Saccharomyces cerevisiae S288C: one gene and its partners. The protein of the gene in region 2 interacts with the protein of the main gene of each other region in a biochemical or structural test. Each region holds a gene or a part of one and is shown on either strand. Other genes may lie near its edges.

Evidence for each region.
Region 1: the proteins of SGT1 (region 2) and HSC82 form a complex in vitro, tested with the Saccharomyces cerevisiae proteins (2 studies listed by BioGRID).
Region 3: the proteins of SGT1 (region 2) and SKP1 form a complex in vitro, tested with the Saccharomyces cerevisiae proteins (6 studies listed by BioGRID, with this or other methods).

What each region holds. Positions count from the first base shown.
Region 1 is NC_001145.3:630,830-636,235, reverse strand, and holds HSC82 (Hsp90 family chaperone HSC82), read right to left. Parts: upstream 3,882-5,406; coding exon 1,764-3,881; downstream 1-1,763. Other genes in the region: YMR187C (uncharacterized protein), read left to right, coding at 252-1,547; RTP1 (Rtp1p), read right to left, coding at 4,266-5,406. UniProt on the Saccharomyces cerevisiae protein: Molecular chaperone that promotes the maturation, structural maintenance and proper regulation of specific target proteins involved in cell cycle control and signal transduction such as CNA2. Undergoes a functional cycle that is linked to its ATPase activity.
Region 2 is NC_001147.6:429,057-434,927, reverse strand, and holds SGT1 (co-chaperone SGT1), read right to left. Parts: upstream 2,743-5,871; coding exon 1,555-2,742; downstream 1-1,554. Other genes in the region: ASE1 (Ase1p), read left to right, coding at 1-1,240; NOB1 (rRNA-binding endoribonuclease), read left to right, coding at 3,302-4,681; phosphopantothenoylcysteine decarboxylase complex subunit VHS3, read left to right, coding at 5,071-5,871. UniProt on the Saccharomyces cerevisiae protein: Involved in ubiquitination and subsequent proteasomal degradation of target proteins. Required for both entry into S phase and kinetochore function.
Region 3 is NC_001136.10:1,123,671-1,127,702, forward strand, and holds SKP1 (SCF ubiquitin ligase subunit SKP1), read right to left. Parts: upstream 2,349-4,032; coding exon 1,764-2,348; downstream 1-1,763. Other genes in the region: YSP2 (Ysp2p), read right to left, coding at 1-1,255; PEX3 (Pex3p), read right to left, coding at 2,600-3,925.

The DNA.
Region 1 (5,406 bases), on a different chromosome or scaffold from region 2:
TGTAAATATATACAACTACAAGACTTCGTTACGTAAATAGTAAAGTGTTATGTTTTGACTTTAAAATATTCTAGTGAAAAGAACGATGTTTTTGATTTTCTATCGTTTAACGCATTTATATATTTTCAGGCAAGTGATATCGAAGATGTGAGTACATCGCTCGTCCCCATCGTCAAAAACAAAAGTAAATAAAAGAGCTCTGCTCTGATTTTACAAACAAGAAAATTCCAAGGAAATAGTCCAAGTTTTATATGACCCCACCTCATTTTTTTTTATCTCTCATAAAAAAAAGATGCATATGCTGGATATGTTTGGAAGAATCCACATATGACTCTACATGGCTACAGCACACGTGCGGTTGCAACTTACAAATTCATAAACGCTGCTATATAAGATGGCTCTATCAAATGCATGTTGAACTTTTTCTTCCGAACACAGTGGACCTACCAAAGGATGCTGATTTACCTATAATCACCTGTTTAAAATGTCTCGTTGATGGGCACCATGATTTTATGACGACTTTCTCTCTTACAGAAATATGGGAAACTCGTCCCATTTGGGGGCAAAAATCAGTACCGTTTCAAAATGACTACGTGTTCAATCTAATGTCTCTTTATACCAAACGGGATAATCATCCACCTTATGTGTTAGTGAAATTTGGCGAATGTCCTCAATGCAAGAAAACAAATTTCATAAAAAGACCTACAGTAACCATCCAGTCTTCTGTACTATCCCTGTTTTATCAGTGGCAAAAAATTACACGATACGTGATACCATTAGGGATAACTAGTTTATTTCTTTTAAACCCTGAAAAGACAAGTTTTGACATTGGATTATGGCAACTACGCTGCCTTTTCCCTGAGAATGTTCTACGAAATATGTTAAACATCAGCACTACAAAGGCATTGGACGTATATGCGCAAACTGAACGTGGCTTATTAAGCATTCCTTTAACCTCCTCGATCATAATATATGGGTTCATACATTATCTTAGCAACATTTCTAACGTCAGTGCTAATGCAATACTCTTTAAGTGGGTGTATCTCAGTATTGTAAAAACTGCTGGAAACAAATATTACAAGGGTATAGGTTTACCTAAAATAATTTTGTATTCTAACTTGGCTACATTTTGCTATAATTTTACCTTTAAAAGATTGGTTGACTTAATTTACAGGAGGCTGATCAATAAAGGAGGTAAGTATTTGTATCACGGAAATTTTGAAAACTCTAGTAATAGCGTTCCAGCTGAGGAATTTTTTATCAGGCGGAATTGGTATGCTATTCTTGCAGAAAAGATACTATGGCCCTTTGTTGGTAAATGTACAGGAGGTCTTCTATTGAATGCTTTTCTATGGATACAGAGAAAGTTTAAAATTGAATGGACGCCGAATTGCTCCCCTTCGGAATTTAGAATGATTTTCAATATTATAGGTTGTGGTACTGCTGCTATAGGCTGGTCAAGTCTGAAGCTCTATGCCAGTTACAAAAGATGTCAGGAACTTGAAAAGATCAATGAATTTATTGAACAAAGTTGCAAAGGTGAGTAAATAAGTCATTCGTAAGTGTACACTAAACTTTAAGGACAGCTGGTAGGACAATTTTATGGTCATTTGACAGCTGATGTCTTAAATTGTGTGCTATGGTTCATGTTTACATTAAGACCAACTTTTTTAAAGGCGCGTAAAGCAGAATCATTATTACAAATAGTAAAAATAAGTAAACAAATTTATATAATATATAAAACATGAAGGCGAAAAAAGAGATTAATCAACTTCTTCCATCTCGGTGTCAGCTGGAACCTCTTCAACTGGAGCTTCGGTAGAAGCTTCTGGAGCGGTTTCTGTTTCTTCATCCTCATCAATGTTCAAACCTAAAGAAATCAATCTATTTATTCTTGATGCAAAAGAAGTTGGTTCTTCCAAACTGAAACCAGAAGTCAACAAAGCGGTCTCGAATAATAAGTTAGTCAAATCTTTGACGGTCTTATCTTGTGCACCACCCTCATCAACTCTCTTTTTCAATTCCTTAATAATTGGAGATTTTGGAGAAATTTCGAAAGTCTTCTTGGAAGACATGTAGGAGGACATGGAAGAGTCTCTCAAGGCTTGAGCCTTCATGATTCTTTCCATGTTAGCAGACCAGCCGAATTGACCAGTTCTGATGGCAGCTGGAGCATCTAGCAATTTGTAAGAAACAACAACCTTCTCCACTTGGTCACCCAAGATATCCTTCAAGGCCTTGGTCAATGGTTCGTATTCTTTGATCTCCTTCTCTCTTTCAGCTTTTTCTTCGTCTGTTTCTTCCAATTCGAAATCTTTAGTAATGTCAACCAAAGTTTTACCCTCGAATTCCTTCAATTGAGTGAAAGCGTATTCATCAATTGGGTCGGTCAAGAACAAAACTTCAAAGTTCTTAGCCTTCAAGGCGTCCAAGAATGGAGACTTTTCGACTGCCTTTAGAGATTCACCGGTGATGTAATAGATGTTCTTTTGGTGTTCTGGCATTCTAGTAACGTAATCAGTCAAGGAAGTCAATTCATCGACAGATTTAGTAGAATTGTAACGTAGCAACTTAGCTAAAGCAGCTCTGTTTTGAGTGTCCTCATGTACACCCAGCTTAATGTTCTTAGCGAAGGCAGAGTAAAATTTGTCAAATTGCTCGGAGTCTTCAGCGATTTCGTTGAAGGCTTCAATCAATTTCTTGACAATATTCTTTCTAATAACCTTCATAATCTTATTTTGTTGTAACATTTCTCTGGACAAATTCAATGGTAAATCTTCAGAGTCAACAACACCCTTGACGAAAGATAACCACTCTGGAATCAAGTCTTCAGCTTCATCAGTGATGAAGACACGACGAACGTACAACTTGATATTGTTCTTCTTCTTCTTACTCTCAAATAAGTCGAATGGTGCTCTCTTTGGAATGAACAAGATAGCTCTAAATTCCAATTGACCTTCAACAGAGAAATGCTTAACGTACAATGGGTCTTCCCAGTCGTTAGAAATAGACTTATAGAAAGCATTGTATTCCTCTTGAGTGATATCAGATGGGTTTCTAGTCCATAATGGCTTAGTCTTGTTCAACTCTTCTAATTCTTGAACCTCTTCTTTAACTTTTTTGGTTTTTGGCTTCTTTTCTTCTTCTTCTTCATCGACTTCTTCCAATTTTGGTTTCTTGTCATCTTCATCCTTCTTTTCCTCGTCTTTCTTTTCTTCTTCTGGAATTGGAACTTCCTTTTCGACTTCCTTGGTGACTAGAAGTTGGATAGGGTAAGCAACGAATTCAGAATGTCTCTTGATGACTTCTTTAATTCTCTTTTCTTCCAAGTACTCCAATTGGTCATCTTTCAAGAATAATCTCAAGACGGTACCTCTACCAATTCTTTCGTTAACTTCGTCCAAAGTAACGGTGAAAGAACCACCGGCATTAGATTCCCAAATATATTGTTCGTCCTCATTGTTCTTGGAAATAACTTGAACTCTGTCGGCGACTAAGAATAAAGAGTAAAAACCAACACCGAATTGACCAATCATGGATACATCGGCACCAGCAGATAGAGCTTCCATGAAAGCTTTAGTACCAGACTTAGCAATGGTACCCAAATTGTTAATCAATTCAGCCTTGGTCATACCAATACCAGAATCTCTGATTTCCAAAACTTTTTCTTCTGGTTTTGGGGTGATTCTAATGAACAAATCTGGTTCGGTTTCCAATTGCTTTGGATCAGACAAAGCTTGGTATCTAATTTTGTCTAAAGCATCGGAGGCGTTAGAGATCAGTTCTCTCAAGAAAATTTCCTTGTTAGAATAGACAGTGTTGATGATCAAACTCATCAACTGAGTGATTTCAGCTTGAAATTCAAAAGTTTCACCAGCCATATTTCAGAATGATTCTATTTTTCTATTGGTTCTGTAGCGTTTCAAGAAAAAGAAAACAAGAGAAAGAATATATCACAAAAAATATAATGCATGTGTTCATGTCACTTACGGTAGGCAGTTCACATGCCACTCTTTTTATACAAATCTCCTCCCTCATTACCCAACGCTTGGTGGAAGTTCGAGAAAACGAGAAAAATTGTTCTTTCACCTTCTAGAAAGAAAAGTGCCCAGAAAACAGAAAGGCGGGTAATAAAATGCATCGGCGGCTATTTTAACTTTCTATTGGTAATGGCTGCTGTTCTATGAATACAAAAAGAAAGAATATAAAAGAACGTAAATATTAATTTTGCCTAAGAAGCAAATTATAATCAAATGCGTAATGGGTTATAAACTATCTAGTACGGTTAAAAGCTTGTCAATCTGTTCACAAACCATGTAATCTTCATCTTGATCACGAACGTAAGATAATAGTGTTTTTAGCTTATCGTAGTTGTACTCAAAGGGAAGTAAATCAAATCCTGTACTGTACAACAAATCATGTATCAAGTGTACGGCACTTCTTCTCATCAAAAAAGAATCATCCTTGTCCTTCAAATGATTTTGTGGTTGTTCTAATTGCAATATTCCAAATACACAATCCAGCATATCGCGAATTCTATCCGAGACACCCCTGGCGTTGATTTGAAGGCACATACCTAAGATTGACATGGATGACATACGCCATCTATTGTCCAATGGTTTACTATCATTTGGCCTCACAATACTAAGACAGGTATCTATAATCAGATAAGCCAATTTACCCTGGAACAATTCGTTCTGACGTTGAATGTAATTGATGAACACTTCTCCAACTTTCAGCACATCATCTAATCTGTTTTTCTTTTTTTTGTTAGCATAAAATTCTGCAAGTAGAGGCAATATGGTTTCTGGCTCTAATTCACATAGCGTTGTAAGTCCTTTAATAACGTTGAGATAAATGAAAGGGTCCATATTCTTTAAATAATCTAAATGTATTTGCAACACCTTTTCCAGTGAAATTACTGGAGACTTCTTTTCAGCTAGATGACGTAGTTCTGTTAAACCATAAGATTTTATGGGCACTAAAGGATCATGTAGACTAGTTATCGCTTTGTCAAGCCTTTCCTCATCCATCTCAATTTCTATGTTGTCGTTCCTTTCCGTAGTATGTCCGTTAATCAATATATTATCTATTGATGCCAATAATGCATCTATTTCGGAAGCATTAGTGTTGAAAGATTGTAATTTTCTAGAAATGGATTTCAATATATAACTGTTTTGCAATAATATACTACTGGACGATTCTGAAAGGACGGTTGATAATAACTGCAAGATAATTTTGTAGGAAGAATTTTCATTTGGATCCAATTCTTCTGTTTCTTCTCCTTCTTCAACTTCGTCGTCAGAATCTGCTTCTACTTCCTGTATTGTTTCATCTTTTTCCTGAACAACATCTATCAATTGATCAATAACAATAAGAACGTCCTTAGGTTTATTAACAATCTTG
Region 2 (5,871 bases):
ATTGTGGCGTACGTTACAGTATTCAGAAGAAAGTCGGTCTAAATTCATCATTGTATTTGAAGAACTAAGGAACAGTGCAACAACTTTACAGGAAGATGAGCTTCTTCTAGAAACTTGCGAAAATGAGCTAAAAAGACTAGAAGAAAAACTGACCCTTTATAAGCCAATTTTAAAATTAATATCAGATTTTGAATCTTTACAAGAAGATCAAGAATTTTTGGAAAGAAGTTCAAAAGACTCTTCACGGCTTTTGTCTAGAAATTCTCATAAGATATTACTAACTGAAGAAAAAATGAGGAAAAGGATAACAAGACACTTTCCTCGAGTCATCAATGATTTAAGAATTAAATTAGAAGAGGCCGATGGTCTATTTGATCAACCTTTTTTGTTCAAAGGTAAGCCACTTTCAGAAGCAATTGACATTCAGCAACAGGAAATCGAAGCAAAATATCCAAGATGTAGAGTTAGAATGCAGAGATCTAAAAAGGGAAAATGTGGTGCGAACAAAGAGAATAAAGTCATAAAAAACACTTTCAAGGCCACAGAAAGTTCCATCAGGGTACCGATTGGTTTGAATTTAAATGATGCCAACATTACTTATAAAACGCCTTCAAAGAAAACAATACAAGGCTTAACAAAGAATGATCTATCCCAAGAGAACTCGCTTGCTCGTCATATGCAAGGAACAACGAAGTTATCTAGTCCGAACAGAAGAGCAACAAGATTACTAGCACCCACAGTAATATCTAGGAATTCCAAAGGGAATATAGAGAGACCTACCTTAAACAGAAACAGATCATCCGATCTTTCATCATCGCCTAGGATAAATCATACGCATGGCGAACATGCAGTAAAACCACGCCAATTGTTTCCTATCCCGCTGAACAAAGTCGACACTAAGGGTAGTCATATCCCTCAATTAACTAAAGAAAAGGCTTTAGAACTTCTTAAAAGGTCGACTGGCACCACGGGTAAGGAGAATGTACGAAGCCCGGAACGCAAAAGCTCATTAGAAGATTACGCACAAAAATTGAGCAGTCCTTATAAAGAACCTGAGCACAGCATATATAAACTTTCCATGTCGCCAGAAGGTAAATTTCAATTAAACATTCAACAAAAAGATATTGAAAGCGGATTTGATGATACCAGTATGATGGAAGATGAAAATGATAAGGATTTTATTACATGGAAAAATGAGCAAGTTTCGAAATTGAATGGATTCTCCTTTACAGATATTTGAATTTCTTAAAAGCGCATTCATTTAACCCTCTGATCTCTTATTTATTTTTTTTGTGGTTTTTTTTTTCACATCACTTTCTAGCCTTCGCTACATTGTCTCTTTCTTTCCTTCTTTTATTCTATCATTCTCCCTTTCCTTTTTCCATTGCACCGTGACTCTGGATTAATATGGACATAATAAAATTTGTAATATTCAATATAATCATGTAAGCATTCCAAGTAAATACGCAGGTTGGCTAGTCTAAATCGAAAATGTAACATTACTACCATACTATATATCTACATATTGTAATTGTGTAGGTATATACTAATCATTTACCAATGTTTAGGTTCCATGCCTTCTGGTGGTGAAGTTTTAACCGTTCCCTTAGATACGTCTTCCCAGTCTGTACTCAATGCAGTACCATTACTTTCTATAAAGGATTTCATCATAGCCCTTTTGGTATCTGGATCCGCTCCAGCGTAAAGCTTTTGAAAGAAACTATCAGCCGATCCCGCTTCTTCATCAGCTTCTTCATCAATGTCAAGTTTAGACCAATCTATTTTTTTTTTAGAGGACGATGGATAAGACAATCTCTCTTTTGATGCCGTTTCTGCTGATAATAAGCGGGTTGCAGAATCAGAATTTTTACCCTCATCTGATAACCTTGAGGATTCCGTTAAAATATCTTCTTCCAACTTCTTCCATTGCGTGCTATCAATTTTGCTCAAGGTAATTTCCAGCTTTTTTGGGAAAATTTTTAATGACACTGCTTTTGGATCCACCTCATGCGAAAGCTTAGCGTTGTATTGAAATTCAGATCCAGATTTCGGTACTTGGTACGATATCGATAAAGTTCTTCTATCGTTTGGAGAAATATATATATTGACTTGTTCCTTAGACTCAGGAAGATTAACAGTAAATAATGATATAGTGACAGAGGTGCTGGATTGATACCAATCGATTTTAAATTTAGGGGATTCTTGAGGAGCGGTTTCAATTTTGAGAGGTGAAATGGGACTATGAGAAGAATTATTATCTCCTCTGTTTTCAATACTTTCCACTGGTTTAATTGTATGCTTATTAGTTGAATCCTTCTGCTTTTTATTTTTTTTATTCAATTTTGTCTCCAGACGATCTTCCCATAAAGGCAAAGTGTCATCAACGTAACCAAGATTCTTGGCTTTTTTAAAATAAGATTGGGCCAGTTCATAATCTTTGATATTGAAGAAATGAACAAAATAACGAAAGTTAACAAGACCAATCTTCGATCTATCGCCCCTACCCTCAGCTGTCATTAGAGCCTTGTCAAGAAGTTCCTTTGCGTTTTCCATAGTTGCATCGCTGTGCCAATCAGAAAACCCAAAGTATAGCTTTTCAAGACATGCTGCCTTAAAAATGAGAGCCGTTAAATTTGTGGGTGAGCCTTTGAGAATTTCATCATAAAGATGGAGGGCCTTCAGTGGTTCCTTCTCATCATACAAAGCTTTGTAGGCAGTTTTTAAATCTTTTTCAACAGGCATTTCTTTTTCGTTTCCTTAAAACAACTACCTCTTTAACCTTAAAAGACTTCTGCCATTACTTTGTCATAGTGCTTTCGTTCAATTATTAGCGTTCAAAGATATATCGCATATGATCAACTCATCTTGAGACCTTACACCCTAAAGTGCTTATATTGGCTTCGTTTATAGTGATCAAAGTCATCAATATAGTGCTCGTCAGTGTAAGACTGAGAAGATCATTCTTAAAAGAATTAGCAGATGATGCATAAGCACTATGGCGGTATTATCTACTATCATTTCTCTTGTATCTGTGCTGAGCCTGGTTCTATTGAAGAAGAATTCAAAATTTGAATGTCTCAATAGAAAAACCCGGACATTCCATAATGCAAGATCAAAATTTTTCGATGAGCTTTGTTTTGCATTGGCAAATTTTTACCTGCTAAGAAGAAGTCTACATGGAGAAACAGCACCATTATCTCAAGTATGTTCTTAACATAGAGGTCGTTCAGTCAGCGCTAGATAAATCTCATCGGCGATCATAGTTCAGTATTTTTCTAAAGTTTCTTTAAAGGAGCATAATATGACCGAAAACCAAACCGCACATGTAAGGGCGTTGATATTGGATGCCACCCCATTAATTACGCAGTCCTACACACATTACCAGAATTATGCACAGTCTTTTTATACTACTCCCACAGTTTTTCAAGAAATTAAGGATGCTCAAGCAAGGAAAAACCTTGAAATTTGGCAGAGCCTCGGAACTTTGAAATTAGTACATCCAAGTGAAAACTCGATAGCCAAAGTAAGTACGTTCGCCAAATTGACCGGTGACTACTCCGTACTGAGTGCCAATGATTTGCATATTCTTGCTTTGACATACGAGTTAGAAATTAAACTAAATAATGGCGATTGGAGACTGAGGAAAAAACCAGGTGATGCATTAGATGCGTCCAAGGCTGACGTTGGTACGGACGGCAAACAGAAGCTCACAGAAGATAATAAAAAGGAGGAGGACTCTGAAAGTGTTCCAAAAAAAAAGAACAAGAGAAGAGGTGGAAAAAAGCAAAAGGCAAAAAGAGAAGCAAGAGAAGCAAGAGAAGCTGAAAATGCAAACCTTGAGCTAGAGAGTAAAGCTGAGGAACATGTTGAGGAGGCTGGATCCAAAGAGCAGATATGTAATGATGAAAATATAAAGGAATCTTCCGATTTAAATGAAGTATTCGAGGATGCTGATGATGATGGTGATTGGATTACCCCCGAGAACTTAACAGAAGCAATTATTAAGGATAGTGGTGAAGATACCACTGGTTCATTGGGTGTAGAAGCGTCCGAAGAGGATCGCCATGTCGCATTGAATCGACCAGAGAATCAGGTGGCATTGGCGACTGGCGATTTTGCCGTCCAAAATGTAGCGTTGCAGATGAATCTAAATCTAATGAATTTCATGTCAGGTCTGAAAATCAAGCGAATCCGTAATTATATGCTAAGATGCCACGCCTGTTTCAAAATATTTCCTCTACCAAAAGACGGCAAGCCAAAGCACTTCTGTGCCTCATGCGGTGGACAGGGTACCTTATTAAGATGCGCAGTTTCCGTTGACTCACGCACGGGGAACGTTACACCGCACTTGAAGTCGAACTTCCAATGGAACAATAGAGGAAACAGATATTCTGTAGCCAGCCCCTTATCTAAGAACTCCCAAAAAAGGTACGGCAAAAAGGGACACGTACATTCTAAACCACAGGAAAATGTGATTCTCAGAGAAGATCAAAAGGAGTACGAAAAGGTGATAAAGCAAGAAGAATGGACAAGAAGACACAACGAGAAGATTCTAAACAATTGGATTGGTGGCGGTTCTGCGGATAACTATATTTCTCCATTTGCAATTACTGGGTTGAAGCAGCATAACGTCCGCATTGGTAAGGGAAGGTACGTCAACAGTTCCAAAAGGAGAAGTTAGTGTTTTTCATAAATATCTGTGTAGTGTGTACTAGTTGGCAGCTGCCCTTTTTCTTTTTCTTTTTTTTTTTTTTTTTTTTTTTTTTTTCACGTGGTTTTTCTATGACGTTTTCCAAAACAAGCGTGTCATGTGAGCTTTTTTGCCCTTTAACTTTCTGGTTGGAGAGTCCAAAAGACCGAAAAGGTAAGAAAACGTTTTATTGCTCAGTATGCCCTCCCCTTATGAGATGAATGGTGTTACAGCACTTTGAAGAGGGCTCGTTTTGAGGACTTTTTGATCAGGATTAATACTAGATTGCCAAAAAAAGGATAGCCTTTTATAAGATTACTTTAGTTCAAAGAAGAGACCAGAAAGAGGAATACTGGCCATAATTATAGTGCAGAGACGCAATGACAAACAAATCTAGCCTGAAGAACAATAGGAAAGGGGTTGCTTCGAATACTCTCTCTGGAGCTGAGCAGGCCAATATAGGTTCATCGGCAATGCCTGACACAAATTCTACGGGACCATTTTCTTCCGTTTCTAGTCTGGACACTCCTGTAGTAAGGAAATCAACTAGTCCCACTGGTTCACAAACTAAGTCAATCATGAATGCTAGCGGAACTTCTGGGGCAGTTGTAAGTAATACACCAGAGCCAGGGTTAAAAAGGATACCAACTGTTACATTCAGCGATCCAAAGTTGGGTAGTCTCAGGTCGGATGTGGAGCAAACTCCACCTAACCAGGTGGCCAGACAGTCCAGCGAAAAGAAAGCAACGTCTGTACACATCGCAGCGGAGGGTGCAAATCAAGGAAGAAACTTGAAAGACATAAATACAAAAGTACCAAAAGATGGCGAGGCTTCTGCTTCTTCTTTTTCGACTCCAACCTCTATTCTCTCCAATGCTGATATGGGGAATAACATATCCAGCCTGCTGGCTAAAAAGCTAAGTTTCACCGGTGGAACAGATTCTATTTTAAACTCTGACAATAGTTCCGATAGCCCCAGAAAGGAGCACCCACATTTCTACGTGGAAGATCCTTTACACACCCCATCAGTTAGATCAAGGTCTAACAGTACTAGTCCTCGCCCCTCTGTGGTAGTGAATACATTTAACCCCATCAACATTGAACGAGAGGGCTCCATATCAAAGACTGGAGAGCCCACATTGTTGGAGTCTGTCTTGGAAGAAGCAATGTCTCCCAATGCA
Region 3 (4,032 bases), on a different chromosome or scaffold from region 2:
GAAATTTCACTTTGCCAACATTTGATCTATCATCCCTATCATTGTCGTTCTCGGTTTCAGAGTTAGAGTTTGCATTTACGTTTCTATTGTTAGGTGTCAAAGAACCTGAAAGGGGCGTAGTCGATGTATTTGTAGGTACCAGTTGAGTTGATGGTGAAAGAAATGCTTTGGAAAGAGGCGATAACTCTTCCTCGTCATCCCCTTCCTCTACTTGAGTATGTTTATCAGAGGCTGGACCAGAAGTGGGGGATAGTAAATAATCTAAATGACGCAAAAATGATGAACTGCGGTGGGCTGTGTTAGCGGAGGGGGAATGAATGAGCACTGTGTCATTGGGATTTTGGTTAGCATTTTCGGAAACAGGTAAGGGCCCTTGTTGCTGTGACAAGGGATGTTGCTGCTGCGCGTGGTGGATATGGAAATAAGGATGGCGAGTTGAACCTGTATGACTTTCACCTGAATGCGAAAATTCACGTTGTATCTCAGTATTTAAGGCTGAAATTTTAGGGACATGAGATATGGCACTATGAGCAATTGATAGAATAGTATCAAATAGACTGTTTGAAGAATTCTCAATGTCGTTATTGTTGTTAATATTATTGGGTGCTGACATTGAATCGATAGCTGGGTGCGAAGAACTTTGAGAGTCATCCTTCTGTAAGATGCTCAAAACTGGTCGTTCATTCTCAGAAGACGAAGAATTGAATGTATTTTTAGTATCAGTATGTTTGACTTTCTCACTTGCTCTATCTATAGTCACTGGAATATTAAAATAACCTTGTGGAGAAGTATTCGGTTTCTTCAAGCCAGCCTTAGAATTTTGTAGCGATCTTCGAGGTATGAAAGTCAAGTCTATACCATGTTTGTTCTTATTACTCTTATTACTAATATGACTTCTACTACTCCTTATTGAGACGATATCTGGTAGCTCTAAAGGCAGTGGTGGGATAGAATCACTAAAATGAGGAGTATGAGAATATTGAGCAGGAGAGTTTGAACCAGAGTTACCGGCAACACCTTCATTAGTAGAGCCTATGTCGGTCAGTACTCTTCTCTTAGCGATGGTCTTTCTGCCATTGTTGGCCCTTCTTAATGATAGGGATGATTTTGCTGCGGAATTGGTAGATTCCTTCCTTGTACGAGTGGTCTTACTTCTTTCCATAACAGGTTGCTTTTTCCTTGACATCAATTTCAGTTTCTTGAAAAAATGACCATCACTAAATGACCTTTTTTTGCGAGTAGCTTCATCCCTCATTGGTTAGGGATATCTGTACAGCTGCTGCTTCTATATATTTATATGTGATTAGCAATCAATATACCCTATTTTAGATGAATAATTTAAAGCAAAGGGTTAAGCTGGTGTTGAAATGCTCGAAGAAAATAAACTTGACTTAAAATTTAGACCAAATATTTCACAAATATGATTCAAAACGGAGTGTTTACAGCTATCTGTCCTAAATTTATCCCGTCTCATCATGTAAACAATAGCTTTTATAACTCAATAATTTTCCTTTTTTCTTCTTGTCACTTTTGCGGCTTTTAGAAGACGCCTATCGCTACACACGACGATGGACCACACATCTTATTGTAGTTTGAAGTTTATGTAAACTGTATACATATATAATTCATACATGCTTGGTTATGGTGGACTAACGTACACATTGCATGACAGCAAGCCTTGTTTGCTTATTTTTGCCTATCTTGCTCTGAAATGGCGCATTATCATCGGAAGAAAGGATCACAGTCATCAGAGGAAATGTAGGCTAACGGTCTTCAGCCCATTCATTTTCACGCCTAATGGCAGCCTCCTCCTCTGGAGTGAAGTCGTTGACGATATTAAACGTTCTTCTAATTTCCTCGGGAGACCTTCCCCTGATCATTTCAGCAACCACCTTGCAGCCAGCGTCAAGCAAGGGCTTGATGTTGAGGTAGTTTGCCGCCAGAATAATTTCGTATAGCATCTCTTGGTCCACTTTCAGGAATTCTCTGTCCCATGAGTCCACGGGAGCACTCTTTCTGGAATCGTCGTCATCTTCGTCAGGGAAGTTAGAGTCTCTGTGGTGCTCGGCCCATTCGATAACCTTCTGCAAAACGGAAGACCGAACATTGGGCACGGGCATCACAATCTCGTCGTCATCCTCATCGTCGTCGTCACCGTTATTGTTGTCTTTGCTTTTGTGGTTCGTTTCCGAGTCTGAATCTGATTCTGAATCTGAGTTGTTTTGTAGGTTGCTGTCATGCATATCGTTCAGATAGTTTTTCAATAGCAGGGATCTCTCCGCGATTTTCTTGTCTACGGTGAATCGTTCACCCTCACCACTCACTAGGACAACATTAGAAGTCACCATATCTGCGCTACGTTTGTTAGTATTCCTGTATTGTTTATAACGTCTTTTCTGTTATATCTTTGCCAACGTTGGGCTATCACTTTCTCTGCCCTCAATATATCAACCTATTTCTTCCCTTTCTCTTCTTTTCTCCAAGACGCCCGTTAAATCGCTGCAGGGTAATGTCATGTTACCTATTGCACACTTACTGTATTAAAGATTACGCTATATATATATATATTCTGGTGTGAGTGTCAGTACTTATTCAGAGATTAAGGCTTGAAGGAAAACGAGCTGGAGACGCCAAAGTTGCTGTATACGCTGGCGCTCAGATCATCGAGCGGCTGCACAGAATCCAGAGTGGCCAGGTATTCGTTCACGCTGCCGCTATGGGAAGACCCGGCAGTTGTTTGAAGCATTTCTTGGCAACAGTCTTTCATCGACATAGCGAAAACTGCCATTTGATACTGTTGCTGATCTTCTTGGCCAGGTTTTTTCTTGGCTATTGTCTTTATGCCGACCTTGTTCATTATGAAATGGAATGATTCATTTATTAGAGACTCTAACACTATGGATGTTGCTGTGCTTTCGATACATTGGGTCAGTTCATTCACCAATTGATTAAAAACTAGTGTGTTAGAGTGAAAACTTGTTAAAGCATCCGCGTCAAGCGTCTGTGACAGAAGAAACTCCTGTCCACTGGAATCTTTAGGAAGCAAAATAGACGTGAGGTTATTATTATTTTGCTGGAATATTTGGGAATTCGTGTTCCGGAATATGTTCGTGAGACGAGAACTAAATTCTTCTAACGTTAGAGTATCTCTTGGGTGTATGCCGTCAAATTCAATTTCGATTTGATTTGTAATTATTTCATTGTAACTCAACCACCCCTTGTTAAGAATCCACCATGATAGTGATAGGAAAGCTTGCTCATTAATATACACTTCCTGGCCTTCTTTCTTTGACTTTTTTGCTGCCATTACCATTGCATCATCCGCTTTGTCCTCCGGATCGCTCCACCACGATGTAACCCAGTTATAGAACCTATTCTGTAGTTTGTTGCAGTTTTCCTGCTGCATGGTTAATTTTATTGCGGAGTCCAGGTACTCGTTTCTTGTCAGGATATTTAGTTGCAGTCTTGTTAAAAGAATCAGCGACGATACTGTGTACGTCACTGTCACCAGCTTGATCAAACTCTTTAGTTCTAACTCGTTCCACAACTCAGCTTTACTTTTTAACGGCGAACTTTCTCTGCTTTCACTAGACTTTGCTCTAGTCAACTGGTTCTTTTGGTCCTTTAATTGGGTAACGATGCTGTCCAAATTCAAATCGTTTTCATTCAAAACCATTCTCCATACAGGAAGTAGCTCGTATATTGTGTACAACGAGTCTTCCTGTGTCTGCTCGAACCTTCTTTTGATCTGTTCTTTGATGAAGTGTTGCTCAGTAATCCGTAACTGCTGTTTATACAACCATCTCTTCACGAAAAACACTACCACCGACCCTGTGGTAAATAAAGCAGCTATTCCAGTCAATGAAATGAGTACCTTTCCTCGATGTCTCTGCAGAAGCGAACGTGATCTTTGATTTGGGGCCATCCTTTTAGTGGTTTGCCTCCTTGTTTCGTGCTTCTGCTTTTACGATGACTAGTATTAACTACCTCAATAATATACCCCATGCTCATATAAGTCGAATAACGCCCTTA